2 linked regions of the Drosophila melanogaster genome follow. The protein of the gene in region 2 interacts with the protein of the main gene of each other region in a pairwise test. Each region holds a gene or a part of one and is shown on either strand. Other genes may lie near its edges.

The links. Proteins that work in one complex are often made in the same cells at the same time.
Region 1: the proteins of CPT2 (region 2) and Npc2f interact in a two-hybrid assay, tested with the Drosophila melanogaster proteins (one large-scale study listed by BioGRID).

The regions. Positions count from the first base shown.
Region 1 is NT_033777.3:24,135,745-24,143,682, reverse strand, and holds Npc2f (Niemann-Pick type C-2f), read right to left. Parts: upstream 5,789-7,938; 5' UTR 5,631-5,788; coding exon 5,483-5,630; intron 3,905-5,482; coding exon 3,797-3,904; intron 3,157-3,796; coding exon 2,987-3,156; intron 2,875-2,986; coding exon 2,788-2,874; 3' UTR 2,747-2,787; downstream 1-2,746. Other genes in the region: Sec10 (secretory 10), read right to left, coding at 6,309-6,407, 6,480-6,797, 6,867-7,056, 7,115-7,702, 7,772-7,938.
Region 2 is NT_037436.4:2,977,681-2,986,297, forward strand, and holds CPT2 (carnitine palmitoyltransferase 2), read left to right. Parts: upstream 1-3,341; 5' UTR 3,342-3,442; coding exon 3,443-4,506; intron 4,507-4,567; coding exon 4,568-5,362; intron 5,363-5,479; coding exon 5,480-5,624; 3' UTR 5,625-5,871; downstream 5,872-8,617.

The sequences.
Region 1 (7,938 bases), on a different chromosome or scaffold from region 2:
TGTGCGCGACGATCGACGCAAGAAGATGAAGCGGCGACTGCGAAGACGACGATCGCCAAGAGCAGACGAGATGAAATGCACCAAGTTCCGCGGAACGAAAAATTTGCAACAAAATTGGGCAGTAAAGCGTCGGCAATGCGGGGATTGGGTTGGGGTTGTGGTTGGGGTTTGGCTATGGGTATGCTATATGGGATGTGTGGTGCGGGGTGTGGGGTATGGGGATGAGGATCGCGGCCACGACTCTTCCAGATGAATGGGTTCTCCGGCTGACGCTGATGAGACAGTCGAGTCGCAGCCAGGCTGGCTGCCGTTGCGTAGAGGCGATTAATTGCTTTTAACGATTCAAAAATTCAAAATTACTTTTTATGCTTCACGCACACCAAGGCGATAAGGCACTTGGCCAGCATAGCATAGCACACATATGATGCACTTGGGGAAAATGCTAATAAATTTTAGGAAATTAGTTGGATAAAATGAAAAAATATAAAATTGAAAAACACTACAAAGTATTCATCAAAAAAGAGATGGAGGTAATGGCCATAGTCAAGTTTAAGGTCACGTTTGACCCATATTTTCTGCAAGTGTACACACAGGGGCGTTGCTAAGGAGGGCAGCGGATGGCAATTGGGGGGGATGAGGATGGGGGGCACTAAGATCCGGATCGATTTCGTTGACGTCGTTGCTGTGATAAATCGTTGGTGGTTGCTGCTCTTGCTGGAGTGTTGCTTTTGTTTTGCCTCCACTTGCAGTTGCTCCGTCCCCTTAGCCACCCTCATTCCACCCCCTACCACAATCCCCCATTTGGGGCTTACTACAATGGCAATCCGGCGACAATGGCCAAAACTCGAGGCGGCAGCAACTGGGTGTAATATGATGCAAATCGTTTAACACTTTGACCAACAGCTCATCGCATTGTTGCCTCCGTCGCTGCCAAAGTGCATTGGTGGTAAAAAAAAAAAACAAGTCGAAAAACTTTAACGTTCCAAGAGGGCACGTAACAAAATACCAGCAAATGGGACGGGGAACGGGAGCAATCATCAGTTTTTGGGGACCAGGCGAGAAAACGGCGAGATCAAACCGAGGAGTTCGATGGACTGGCTTTTTACGGGGGGCTAAACATTATCCACGATCATTGCTGAATCACAGTTAACCATAATGTAAATATCAACCGACTGTTTGCTGTTGTGCATTTAAAGAAACCGTGAAGTTCCCTTCTCAAATATCATGAAAATAAAGTATGATTCCATTTTAGTATGCGTCAGATGTCAACGCTTTCGATTCATGCAAATTTATAACCTAAACAATTCATCATCAAGAACAACAAGCTTTACGATTATCTTACAAATTCAAGGTCTTAAGCTTGAGCTCTATATTCTTCAGTATGTAGTCCCTATACCAATTTCACATGATCTAGCTACTCTCTTGCTAGAAACTTCGTATCTTTCCCATTGTTGTCAAGCGCGGTATCCCCCGGATCGCTATGGTGACACTTAAGACCGCTAGGAAATCCAAGTGACCCCAATGGAAGCCCATTTAAGGGGTTCAAGCACCCAGCTGGGCATGTGCTCAAGCTCAAGCTCAAGCGGAGCGAATCCGAGTAGGATCTGTATCCATGGCGGTGTCGAGTTCTACGTCAGGTTCTGAACACGAAGCCGTGCTCAAGGTTCAGCGATATGATATGTCGTGTGTGCATTCATACTCGTACTTCCGATTATAGAGTTCTGTAAAAGCTTTTCTTCTGGGATCTCCTTTCTAAAACTCAAATATGTTCTAAAATCTCTTCTATAGGCAAAAGAACGCCGCCTATGCAAGTGTACGGCTAAGAGAGCTTTTGGGGCGTGAGAAGTGATGTTGCCGCATGTCAACCGTGCACTATCCGATGGGATCTCAGCTCATCCCCTTGGATGCCCCTATATCGCCAGCACCATCTCTACTAGTCCGCAATTAGCGCGAAGACAATCTCATTTACGCCGACGGAATTGCGCAAATGGCGGGCAGTGCGATACATTTTTAGGTACTCACGGTAATGGAAACACTTTCGGATGCACTGGCTCCACGCCTCGTGATCCGTGATCTCGTACTCCCACGCAGTCGGAGCGCCTTCTTTGATCGCTTGTTGCCACTTTAATCTTTAATTCGCCGCACTGTTCCGATTTCCGCTCCTGGGAACTGTTGATCTTAAGTAACAAAACCGAAACCGAATCTCAATCCGAATCAGAATCTGAATCTAAATCTCAAGTGGGAGCTCTTTTCGTGCGACCGTTGCGCTGCAGCCCCCAAGAGAGAGTGACACACTGAACGCCACGGACTCGGACTGCAGGGCTCGAGCTCCAATGCTCCCGTTCTCCCGCCGCTCTCTCGCCACAGTGGGCAAGGTGGTGGATTTTTCGAACATAATATTAATTATAAAATATTCAAAATAATCACACAGCATATAATAGTTTGTTACATAACTATTTTAAGTTATAAACATATATTTCTGTTATATTTAAATAGTATTGTTTATACTCGACTGTTTAAGTGCTATATCAGCGATTTGTACCACTGTGCCGTGCTCCACTTGCTCCCGCTCCCACTCACCGTGTGTGCCGTGCCAAAACGGAGATCTCCACCTCCCGTCTCGCTCGCTCTCCCTTTCTACTACTACGATGCCGCGCCCCTTTGTTTTCATTCAAAATTTCATTAAAGGATGCACACATGCACACCTCCCCTCCCCCACACACACACACAAACGCACTGGTCTGTTGATTTGCATGCACCAATTACTTTATTTTCGTGATTACACATTTACACTGTGATTACAACGGGAACCTGGAAACAGATTAGGTTCTGATCGTTCGCATCCTTGGATTCCCACAACATGCTACCTTTCATCTGGAACACAGAGAGAAATATATTATATATATATAAAATATATAATTAAGAATATGTACGAATGAATATTAATGGTGATTTGTAGAGTTTATTGTAAGGGTTCTTTACTTACCACCGGCAAAGTTTCGTTCACAAAGATATTGGCCCAATAGGCCTTTCCACCACTTGCGCTCTCTATGCATCCGTGATCTCCGTCGCAGGGATCGGGAGTTATGGCCGCCTGGGTCTTGATGTAGTTAAACACCCATCGGACTTCGTGCTTCAGAAAGCTGACGCCATTGCCTGTTAATGGGATAAAATAATAAGTTTTACTATAACATAAAACAATTATACTATTACTATCATTTTGGCTTGGCTGTACGTTTTTTATCAAAGCTGAAACTCTAATCCAATTATCTGAACATGTTTTGCATGCTCTCTTTAATCGAATTTTTGGCCAATCTTCGTTTCAGCCCCCTATCGCAAATTAGTACTCCAAATGTTCGATTCGTGCTGAGATCAATCGTTTCGATTTCGTCTCCATTTCTGCTGATTCATCAAAATACCATTAGGCGTTTAATTTATTATTTATGGATCGACTGTGGGGCTGAGCCTAGGTTGCAATCGAAATGCATTGAACATAAACAGTAGTAGTAGTAGCAGCAGGAAATTCGGTGAGTTTTTGTAGATATACAATCTTCACCAGCTTATCATTATTGCCACCATCATTTGACCATGCATATTCAGGGAATTCAGGGGGTTCCAAAACACCTTGCCCCACCCGAACATCCGCCATTCACCTGATCGAAGTTCTTCGCCCGCACCACATCTATTTTTATTTCCGACTGACTTTTGCTCAGAACGCGAGTCGAGTGTACGTTGCTCTGAGAAATCCCAATTCCGAATGCACGGATCTGCTGTTATCAGCGGAGCACCTACATACCATTATCATCGAAGCGCACAGTAACCTTAATTGTCGCGTTCCGGGCCATGGAGCAGGGCAGTGTCGTACAGCTCTCGATGTCCAGGTAGCTGACCTGGTACAAAGAACCTAAAAGAGGCAATGGAAACAGATTTAAAAGGCACATAAAACCAGAAGATATGGATCTTTTAGCTTTAGATCTTATGCTAACAACATGCTAAAATAGTTCGTAGTTATTCCTTTAAACATAATAAGGATACGATCCATAGAGTAGGTAAGGTTGGGCATTCTATCCTGAATGGATTTGGTTACGTGACATAGTACATGCCATTCAACCATATAATTAACACCTGGCAACAAAGTAAAAAACTTTACTCTCAGCAACTAAGCCGAATTATCTGCGATCCACACAGGCGATCGCCTATACATACTATATACGCATTTCTAAATAATCTATGACCAAGTGCACTTCCCAAGGCCGTTAAAAAGTTTCTATCTTCAAAAAATGAACCGCGTTCAGCATTAGATTACAACACTCAATTAACTTGGCTGCTCATTGATTACTGCCCCCCCAAAGTGGGCGTTCGCCTGTCTATCAGCGTCATAAGGTAATCCCCCATAAGGGCGTCATATCTGTTTGTTTACAGTTCCTCAAATCTAGAACATAAATCATGTATTTACTGTGCACAGTCCATAAATACTCCATTTAATCAGACATCGTAAAAACCAGAATACAATTAATAGCTCGTGTTTTGGGCAACCAAAACTAGTTAACGAAGGTTTGATGCCCTAAAATCAACTAAGCTGGGTAATTAAAAGTAGTTAAAAATAGGATTTCTTTTTCCTTGACTGCAAAATGAACAGCGTCAATCTAATTTTATATTCTGTTGATAATGAAAAATTGAAAACAAGTAACTATATTCGGGTTTTTTGTTGATGTCATTGGAATATCACGTTTATTACGCCCACAGATCTTACCCACTTTCAAATTAAGCTCTGATAGTATTTTTCGATTATGGTAATGTATCATAAATTAGATTTATCATGTCACAAGTATAAAGTGAAGTTAAAGGCGCTACTATCGGGGAATTACTCTTTATGACTATTATATATATTCGTTACTCATAGAGTAATAGGGTATACTATATTCGTTTTTTGATATTTCCATACGTAGTTCTTAAAATCCTATAACCATAAATTTATATTTAATCTCGAAATTGATTGAATTGCAAGATTGCAAGATTCAATCCTTTGCTCGGACTGCCTTAAGGTGACTAAGGGGTATCTGATGGTCGAGGAACTCTGTTATATCGTTTTCTCTTTTGTCAGATTGCGCCCTGTGAAATTTACAATATACTTGGCAGCGATATAATCTGAATTACAGTGCACAATATTGGATCCATTAAAATTCCCGAAAATGGGTGTTGCGGAAGTAATTCCTTATTATTGTATTATTATAGTATTATTCGGTAGGTCGATTTTCCACCGGAAGATAATATTTTAGTAGAATGATTTCTAATTCTAATATTTTTTCGAATATAAAGCTTTTGAGGTTTCTTTTCGAATGCATACCTTAACAAAGCCATGGTGTATAAGAAAACTGCTCGAGATATTTTCTTACCGTTTTTTTCCCCTGTGGAAATCAATTGATTTTATACGTTGTCTGAATCGACCCACCGAAAAGCACTGATCCTGAGATATACTTACCGCAATCCTCGAAGGGCAAAGATCTTAGGGACAGATATTTTTTGTAAACAGCATCTCTGGTAGACTTGATCGTTCCGCCGGCCAATTCGTGGGCAGCGCAAATAACCAAGAGTATTTTTAGATAGTAATCCATTAGGGCGCCGCGCATGGTTTAATCGACTGAGATCTTGATCGCGGTTTGATTAGAATATCGTCCAAACGAATTTTGCGTAGGTGTGCAAATAAGAAATGTTAATAACAATAACAAAGCAGTTCGTTAATCAGGATCACGGGCTGGCAACGTTTTTTTTTGGCGATACGATTTGCTTGGTGGCTATTAGGTGACTGACACCAAGAATAGTGGGTACCAACAAAAGTAGCCGGCCTCTCTTCGATTGGAGTGCTGGCACTCTCCGGGCAAACGTAAATAAATAAATAATTCGCGGACGCCTAGGCAATAAACTTTGATTTATTGACTGGAAGCCGATGGGAGCAAATAACGCTGACTTTCGCTTCAGCTCCAACTGATAAGGTCAGCGAATCTCTTTGAAGATTTCCAAACGGGAAGTCCGTGACGTAGCTGGAGGCGTGTGTGGGTCTGAGAGTGGGTGGTTGGGCGGCGGGCACGCGTGTGAGTCGCGCCTATAAATACACGAAAGTAAATCAAGTAACGCGGGCGATGTATTGATAAAAGTAACCAGCCACTTGACTTTAATTGAAAGTTAAAGAACATGGCAAGCCATAATTAAACATCATTAGATAATGTCCCCTTTAATAAATCAATTTAATCCGTAGACAGCGAAGGTGGAAAATTTTGGAATGTGAATCATTCTGGACGTCGAACTCCTCACTCAATAATACCCTTCAGATAGTTGGTGTTCTTGATGATCCTGAAATCAGTGCGCAGCTGAATGAATTGCCGCACCACCGACTTGTCCAGATAATTCTAAATAGAGTGGGGTGGATACAGATGGTAACGTAAGACTATCGCTCGACATCAAAGGCACCGCACACTTACCAGAGTGTCACCCGTGCAAACTTCTTGAAGGTTTTGGGGCTTAACAAGTAGTAAATTGCACAATGCATGCAGTATGTCAAACAGCTGCGTGACCAGTGGACTATCCAGCTCGCGAATGCACTTGCGATACTCGTTCACGTCGCAGATGGCACACATGGCGCCAGCCGTGTTGAACTGCATGGTCTGCAGGTGATCGTAGATTACTCGGTGCAACCGAGTTCCAAATTCTGTAAGAACATTCTGCAAATTCTCTCCATCAACACATTTTTTAATCTGCACAATCACGGGCTGCAGATTCTGAACGACTTGTAAGCAGGCCTAGAAAAGAAAAATAAACATTTTTAAGGATAGACAGATAAGCTCGATTTTACTAAATTTATATCTTACCGCTGAAGATATTGTATCCACATCTGTTTCCGGCTTGTAGTCCGTTTTCTTTTGTTCATATTGCAAATATACCTTGACCCAGCCAATAACAGCGCTAATAGAGCGATCAAGACCCTGGTCCAGCTTTGTCTCGATTTGCTCCATCAGAATACGTTTTTTGAACACATAGTCCGAGTACTTGGGTGTATTACTAGAAAAGAATACATTATACATTCTATAAAATGTAAATTAACAAAGTCCTAACATACCTCACACAGGGTATGACAGATGTGTGGCACAGCTTGTCCAGTAGATGGACAATGATGTTCGTCTTTTGCACCACATCAAAGAAGTAGAGCTGGGGAAAGACCCTGCCCTCGGCCAGTGGCACTGCTTGCAGTCCCAACTCCAGTGCGTAATCTACGTGCTCGTGCATCAAGAAACGAAGAAGGATATCGTTTAGCTTTATAGCATTGCCTGGTAGTTCGGTCTCGTTGGACAGCAGGCGACAGCGCTTAAGCGACGCCTTGGCCTCCTGCAGCATGTTGATGGCCAACTCTTCGGATAGGAACGTCTCCCCGCCATAGTCCTCGATGGCAGCAATATTTATGTTAGCCCGCGTGGCTATCAGCACCTCCATGTTTCTCCGAAAGCCCTTAGTAGTTGCAGTCTTTTGGTGTTTCTTGCTGGCATAGAACTTTTCCAGCTCTGTGGAACACTTGGCTGTGAGGCATTTGGTCTCCATTTCGGCGTAGCCGGCCAAATGCTTTATAAAAATCTGCTGTGTCAGCTTCTGTAACAAGTCGTCGTCGATCGTGGACATGTAGATTTGAAGATCTGTTGACAATTTTAGTGTGCTGCAAAGTGGTTGTGAAATGAAAGTAATCGCAAATTTTGACATTTAACGTAACTTCTGAATGACTCACCGCGAGTATAACTCATAAAGGGTGCGAAGATATTTCTCCTCGTCTTTTTTGTCCTCCAACTTAGTCATGGCGTACTGGTGAAGCTTCAGTTGATATATGTTAAGTATGAACTTGGACATAACCTGCTGCGGATTGGCAAACACCTTCTGGATTATCTCGTAGTGATG
Region 2 (8,617 bases):
ATATAAAATAGAGGAAAAAAAAAACGAAGCTAGCAATTTGTCTGGCCTTCTAGGAAAATCATCACAATGGCGGTTGTTTAGTGGGCGGAATCCCAGACTTGGCTTTTTGCAAAAGTTAAGGAATTTCGCGTGGATTTACATACATGCGTGCTATTACACATATTTAGTAATTGGTATACCCATTATTTTTATTTTTTTTTTTGTGTGTTTTGGGCCTTGATTTTGAAGAAGGCGTTTCGCCTTCATTACTTTATTTTCGTAGCTCCTTAAACGATTTGGGATTGTGTTGGCATTGCTTTGCTAAGGGTCTTTAAGGTCTGTTTAAATGGCAGTAAAACTACTCGACAATTTCATACAAGCTGATTAATAATATTCACTATCACACTTTATTAAGGCAACCAAGATTTATAGATGCCCACGTTTCCAAACATTTTCCCAGCATTCCACAATGCCCCCGTATATATGCATGCCACACCCAAGAATATCAATAAACTTTGTGGCCAGCAGCTATTGATTGCTGGTGACATTGAACCTTGACATTGCTGCCTGGGAAAAGGATTCCCCAGCGATTGTTCCTGTGGCATATTAATTATGCTGCTGGCCATCGTGGCTCGTGGCTGATCATAAATTAATGGCTCGGGTTCAGTGTCCCTAAAATTGCAGCAATTATCTGCATTATTTTCTTGGGGCATGCCAGGCAATTATGAAAATTAACATGTTTGTGCACAATAGCACACAAGAGCCGCAAACTGTGGCAGCAAAAAGCTTTTACATATTCATCAGCCTACGATGTCTTCAAGGTCTCAAAAAGTGGGTGGAATCCTGTGTATTTCGTCGGTTTTCGGCGTGTGGGTTTTGACTTAATCTGCTTGCTTTATTTGTCATGCACGTACAGGTTGGTGAATTAAATTTGAATTCCCCCCACCGCGCCTGCCTGCGGGGAAACAACTCGGGAAAAACAAGAGCAAATTTCCCAGACTTTCCACAGCATGCCGTCCTTGTTTCCCAGCTTCGTCGTTTTTGCTTATATTTTGGCTACATTTGATTTAGCTTTTTAATCCGCCTGCAATGTGCACTACTCTGAAAAGTATTCAATAAATTGAAATTAAAATAAGGCATTGCTAGTGTGTGGCAGAATAATAAATAAATCCTAATTAGTAAGCACAATTAACTTTTAGTATGTGCTTATTGGAATGTATTGCAATAAAAATAAAAGAACACATGTTATATAAATTGCACTAAATAATGGTTAGGCTATCCTTATGCCTATTTAAATATTTTAAAGGTAGCATAAACTCCAACACCTCGACCATCGCATTCCCATTCTACAGTGCAACCTCCTACAGTGAGGCCTGAGTTATTGCCTCCATTTCTTTGGGGCTGTCAACGCGGCCATTTGAGAGCTATCTCCGTTCTTCATGGCCATGTCAATGATTTGCTCGACTGGAATGCGGCATTTTTGCTGAGCCATCTATGCAAATCTCCGTTTGTCCGAAGGTCGACCAAACCCAAACCCAAGCCCATTTGCCATTGTCATCATGGGGCAAATGGAATTTGCCAGTTAACTCTTCCATCTGGTCACCTCGTGCTTTTGCCTGATTTTTACGCAGTTGTCAACCCGTCGAAAGCGACTTATTCGCCACACCTTTCAGGTGCAGAAAGACAGGAAGGAAGGAAGGATTCGAATCTGGATCCCCAGTCACGCTGTGCGTGCTAGAATGGTCAACAGTTTTATTGTCCGGCAAAGGACTCTGGAAACAAATGTTGATTTCTGCGCACAGAAAAGAAAAGGATTTTTTAGAGGTTTTTTATGTGTTTTCGCATCTGGCGGCGACAGTTGAAATTTTATACTACCGTTGGTTGTTAATGAGTGTCGAGATTGTATGCTTTTTAAACACATTCAAGGGTCCTTGAATAGATTTTGTTATTAACGGCGAAAAAAGTGGAAAAAATATGTCACAAAAGAGCGCCTTTAAATCTAACTTTGTGTTTACATTTTATATCAAAAACATTAATTCAATCTGTGCTAGTATGCAACATATTTCATTTAATTTTATTTATTTATTTTTCTTTCCAATTGAAGTCCTTTATCCCACCAGTTATTTAAAGTCGCAGTTGGTCTTTAAAATGCGCGGGGCAATGGCAAAGCAATTACCCATCGATTTGTTCGATTCGGAGGCGCTCAAGTGCTTAAGCGTCCTTTCACCTTTTTGGCAATGGCATCCTGGCGATTTTGGTCCGTGGATAAACAGCGTTTTGTTTGCATTTGCGTGGCGTTTATTTGTTTGCCCGCTGTTGATGTCTGCTGGTCGAGGAGCTTGGAGCTTGGACGACGAGGGTTTCCCGGGGAAGAAACAGATCTTCGGAGGGGTCAGGACATCTTGCAGACGTGGTGGGTCAAAGGCTCCTGCGGGTATTCCAACCGGTCACTGTTCCCAGGTAAGTCGGAAAAAACACAAATGGTTTACTTAAATTACGGGGCTAAGAAAGAAATGAAAATGCGCATAAAATTTTTATACTTTGTCGAATTTCACGAGCGTTCCTTCCCATCGATTCATCTGTGCACTTTGCAGTCGACGCTTGCGGAATAAAATCCACTGCCCCTCAATTCCTCAAATTAAGTAAAGTGAGTAGGGGAATCCCCTTTTCCATTTAAATTTGCATAAGAGGCATCGGCGAAAGCGGATGAGGATGCGGATGGGTTGCAGTGTAATTGGGCGAAGTGAAATTGCGTTAATATTTAACAAGCCAGCGAAAGTGCAAAAGCGAAGCGCATTAAATGCGGAAAAGGGATACGGAAACGTAGTCCTTCGGGGCAAAGTGCGAAATTATGCGGAGTTCAGGGAGATCCGCAAGCCCTTTCCTTTGCGAGCACGGACCTCAAATGTTAAATGTTAGCCATAAGGTCAGCCAAATGTGAAACTCGAGCCGTGAAAGCGAAATGTTTGACCGCGAAGAGCAGCGCTGATTTTGAGTGGTAATTTCATTTCTCATTATCGTCGTTATGGTAATTCAATAAAATCATGACAATTCAAAATTTCGTGCCCGGCATGCGATTGGAATCTGATTATTGCAAATTCAATTTATAGTGCTATAAATATAAAAAATTTACAAAAGATATTAAACATGAATTTTAACCCATATAATATAGTACAGTTATACATAATAATAATAAAATCCGCAAAGATCTATTTATCGTAAATTTCAAACATATACGATATTCAAATATTTTGGCGCCATTACAGGTACTGAAAAATACCAAAAATACCGTAAGGTAACTATCGATGACGGCGATCAGCTGTGATCATCAATGGCGAACAGCTGATCTGGCTCGCGAATTTTCATCTTGTTGTTGGACTTTCTGTTGTGGACTTTGAAACGTCGCCTCTCGAGTTTAAACAACAAAAGTTACTCAATTTGGAAAGCCATCGAGTGGATAGCCATGTTTCGGACCCGGGTGCACCGCAATCTGTCGTGGATATCGACGAACTCGTCGAGGACAACGACCACTCATGGCCAGCACTACCAATACCTGCAATGTTCCAAGCTGCCAACGCTGTACTTTCAGCGCTCCTTGCCGCGATTGCCCATTCCTCTGTTGGAGAACAGCTGTCGGCGTTTCCTGGAGGCCACCAAGCCACTACTCTCGCCGGCGGAGCAGGCGCAGACCCAGCAAACGGTGGAACAGTTTCGCCAGGGGATCGGCATGGAACTACACGCGAAACTCAAGAGCCATGATGCAGAGAACAAGCATACCAGCTACATCTCGCAGCCCTGGTTCGACATGTATCTAGCCGATCGAGCGCCCCTGCCACTCAACTATAATCCGCTGCTGGTGATGAAAAGCGACGCGCGACCGGAGTACCAGCAACAGGTGGTTAGGGCTACCAACCTGATCATCAGCTCGTTACGGTTCTGGCGATCTCTGCAGGCGGATCTCCTGGAGCCGGAGGTGTACCACATGAACGCCAAGAAGAGCGACACTTCCAGCTACCGCAGGTGGATGAAGGTGGCTCCCAAAGCCTTTGCCACCTACGCGTCTTATGCCTTCAAGGCCTTTCCGCTGGACATGAGCCAGTACAACCGGTTGTTTGGCACCTCTAGGATTCCTAGGATCGGCAAGGACGAGCTGGTCCAGTCACCGGACGCCAAGCACATTCTGGTTATGCGCCGCGGTCACATGTACGCCGTAAATGTGCTGGACTCCAGTGGATACATCGAGAGTCCCAGTGTGATTCTGGGCAGACTAAGGGCTGTGCTTAAGCTTGATGCAGATCGCGAGGCAGCCAGCGTGCCACTTGGTGTTCTGACCTCCGGACAGCGTGATGAGTGGGCCAAGACAAGACAGCATTTTGTTAGCAACACCAAAAATGCCGATCTTCTGGAGAGAGAGGTGGATGCGGCTCTGTTCTGCGTTTGTCTGGATGGCGAAGAAGATGGAGTCTTTAACGAAAACCAGCAGGAGCCGCTGCTCAAGCATTTGCTGGCGGGAAAAGCGCAGAATCGGTAAGAAGTCGACATTATGTAAAGCCTGCCTGATTCACAAAATCATCCTGTTCTGTTACAGTTGGTTCGACAAATCCATTTCCCTGCTTATAAGTGCAGATGGAACAACGGCTATTAACTTCGAGCACTCGTGGGGCGATGGAGTGGCTGTGCTTCGCTACTTTAACGAGCTCTACAAGGATACTTTGAAGCAGCCGTTTGTATCCACGGAGACAGTGCACACTCCCGCCGAAGGCGATTTTAGCAACGTGCGGCCCATCAACTTCGAAATCGACGATGCCACCAAGTCGGCCGTTTCGGAGGCTTATAATAAAAACGCCAGCATTGTAGATAATCTGGACATGAATGTGCTGAAGTACCCACACATCAACAAGCCCACATGCAAGCAGTATGGCCTAAGTCCGGACTCCATCATTCAGCTGTCCTTCCAGCTGGCTTATCGCCAAGCCTACAGCGGCTATGTGGGCAGCTACGAATCCTGCAGCACATCCGCCTTCCGACACGGACGTACCGAAACGATGCGACCGTGCACAAATGCCACACGGGACTTCTGTGAAGCTATCCTCCAGCCGGAGAGGAGCAAGCCCAGCGCCGGAGAACTACGAGCAATGATCGACAATTGCAGCAAGGTGCATGGCCAGTTAACCAAGGAGGCGGCTATGGGCCAGGGCTTCGATCGGCATCTCTTTGCCCTTCGGCACACGGCCCAAAAGGAGGGAATACCAATTCCCGATCTCTATGAGACTGAGGCTTACAAGCGCATTAATAACAACATCATTAGTACCTCAACACTGGGTTCAGATGCCCTGCTAGCGGGTTCCTTTGGTCCGGTGGTCAAGAATGGCTTCGGAATCGGGTAAGCTGACTGCCTGTCGAGATTGGGTATTTGAATGTACAAATGCAGCACCTATTTTTCAAGTTGCCTCGACAAATTGTTCACTAGCTGACAGTTGATAACCCATTATTCTTTCAGCTATTCGATTCAGAACGATTTTGCCGGCGCCATTGTCACCACGTACAAAAACCAGGCCGATGGGAAGGTGTTCATAGACAGTCTGGAATCGGCATTTGATAAAATTTGCGCTGTCATCCAGCAGAGCAGCAGTAGCAAGAAGTAGGAGAAAATCGTGAGGAGTCCGACCCCGAATCCAATGAATATGGCTTTAACGTAACAGGGAGATTTATTTTGATGCTTTTACATTGTATCCCATGTGTCTGAATTGCAATATCTTTATCTACAATTTATAGATTATACACTGAAAACATTCTACCCCATCTAAAGCATCTGTGTCTTTGCTTTTATACCCGCTGCTTTAATGGCTTTTGCGGCTGATGGGATAATAAATTGGCTAACATATTGTTGGGATGCTGCTGGCTTGACATTTGCAATTGAATACGAGAAATAACTCACGTTTTAAAACAATGCTGAAAACAACTTTAAAGTAAAGAGTTTAAGAAGTTTATATTAAAATTGAACATAGAGTTATGATAAACGAGCTGAAGTAAAATCGAATAAGAGCGGTTGAAAGCATTTAAGATTATTTTGCGTAAGAAAATGTTTTTTTTTTAAGAAAACATCTTTCGATCCTTTGTTTTCCTAAGTAAAATCAACACACAGAACGATGTATGGCACAAACCCTTTTGAGTTGGTTTAACTATTGAGTCTCCTTTTAAGCATGCGTAAACTTTGACCTTTCATTGTCACTTAAGTTAAACAAGATGTGTGCCCACGCACACCCTGTTCCCAACTTGTTTATCCCGGAATAAGTGGGGGAAAAACCCTTGCATTAAACAGTTTCTGATTAAAGATTTCCCACACGCTGACCCAGAAAACTTGGCCACCAACCCTTCGGGCCAAGTTGTTGCCTTTCGATTTGTGTCAGCCGCACACGTCAATCGCGAACTCCGCCTAAACATGGCGAAAAGTTTATCAAAACGTTGCCTTTTTGGCTGGGAATGGGGATGTCGCTAAATGTGCTGACGTTATCAGTTGATTTATCGTCAAATTTTGTGCCAACTGGCGTGGCGTTGTAAAAATTAATTAACTTGCTCGCCGAGTCTTCCTGATACGTACACGATTCCGCCTTAATGGGCGGCATTAAAAATTAAAAAAGGAGACATTTACGCGGCGGAGAGGTCATTAAAGCCAAGTAGACTCTTCTGCCAGTGGCGGACAATTAAAAACATATTAAACTGACGTGCTGGAAAGGATGTGCATGTGGATGTGGCTGTGGCTGTGGATGCGCAGTCTGTGTGTGCGAGGATGTGGGTCGATGATAAATGGGCGGTCGCCAGGATTTAATATTGCGCATACGCCGCCGACGCCCGGCAGCTCATTAAATTATTCAAAAATGGGACTCCACTGCCCGTCCGTCCAGCTGGCTACATAGTTGTGGCATTATATGTATCCTAGTACATCATCCTGTTGGTCCATTGTGCTGCGGCATGCGACATGTGGCTGCGATAAAATGTCCTGACGTGAATCGCCTGCTGATGAGTTTCGGACTCAGAGCGCCGTTTAACTTTCCACTTCTTAATCAAAATTGCGTTGAAAGTCAAAAGGTTCGAGAAAGGCCAGGCTGGAAATCAATAATTGTTCTCCTAATTGAATATTAATATTTAATTTTCGCTTTCTCGCTGTGTTAAAGAACGCATCATTAGGCCGGGCATCTGTTGCCAAACTTATCCTGGGCAAGGGCTGCCCGCAAATTGATTTATGGCCGGGTGGTGGATACCCCGCTGGATTTAAGCACTTGTCTTTTGTTCGTGGCAGGCAGCTTCAATTTGCGGCAACAATAATATTTGTTCGACCACAGCAACCGCACGACCGCAAGGCTGTTAGCAACTTCTCAGTGTCCCAGACCACCAGCCGCAGTGCGTATGCGTAATCTTGGTCAAGCTATTGCCGCATGTTAATGCACTCGGGCCAAAAGACAAGCCGCACTTCCGCACCACGGGCTAATGAGCAATTAATATGGAAATCAGTTTTGGCCATTACAAGGTGCCTGGCCAATTATGTTGCGAACTGGTCCGAATTAATGGCCAGGTCATGTGGGAACGTGTCTGGAAATTACAACTGCCCGTTGGTCATACGGTCCTCCGGAGTTAGATTTTATGCTCCAATTTGTAATGAGTTACTAGAGTCCTTTGATACAGGTACTCGGATGTGCTCTGTATTCAGTTGGCAATTGTCATGACTAAAATTAAGCTGACCGTAATTTGGTTAAGGTAACTCGGCTAAAAGTACTCAAGTGTTGGTAGCCAACAACAACGTTTAAATAATTACCAGTTTTTCTCCCCCTTATTTTCAATAAAGGATCATAGTCTTAAAGGCTCTCGAATATCAAAGTGTCAGCTACTGGAAACGACGTCTTAAGCCCAGCCGCAATTTTTCGGGGCGAGCTTCCTTGTGTAATTAACATCAGATTTATGAGCAATTCATGGAAAATGTCTGCACAGGTGTCTGAAAAAGTACTTGAAACTCAATTCAAGCAGCTCGTGCTTGTGTTAAGCATTCAAGTTAATTGGTTTTGCCGCAGGACATTTGGTGAGACATGAGCGCAAACAATGAGCTGGTCCTATAAATGCCAAAAGCAATGCGGAATAATCATTTCTAATTGCCGGTAATTATTTACAAAATTAACAAATAGTCAATGAGCCAGCAGCGGAAACGAAAGCCAAAGGAAAATTAGCAAAACAAAATGGGTGAAAATATATTTCTTTTGGGAAAAACTAGAAAAAGAAATGCGCCAAAATGAGGTAAAAACTATTTGAGTTCGTTTTCTGGCTATTGATTCACCTTCCGATGGTTGGATGTTAGCCAGTTTTTCCGAGAGAGGAAAACAAAGAATTCAACTTGAGGTAGTCGGAAATTGGGTACATTTGTTTATAAACATTTTGGTAAACAAAGGCAATTTGAAAAAAGCCGAACGATAGATAAAAGTAAATAAATGTGGGGAGAAAAACAATTTTATAGTTACACATTATTTCGACTTGGGCAAAGAAAAAAGAAATAAAAGCACAACTTATAAACATTCAAACTTTTGGCAGCTACTTTGAATATATAAGAAGCGAAAATCAAAAGTGATTGGTAATGTTTATGACATTAGCA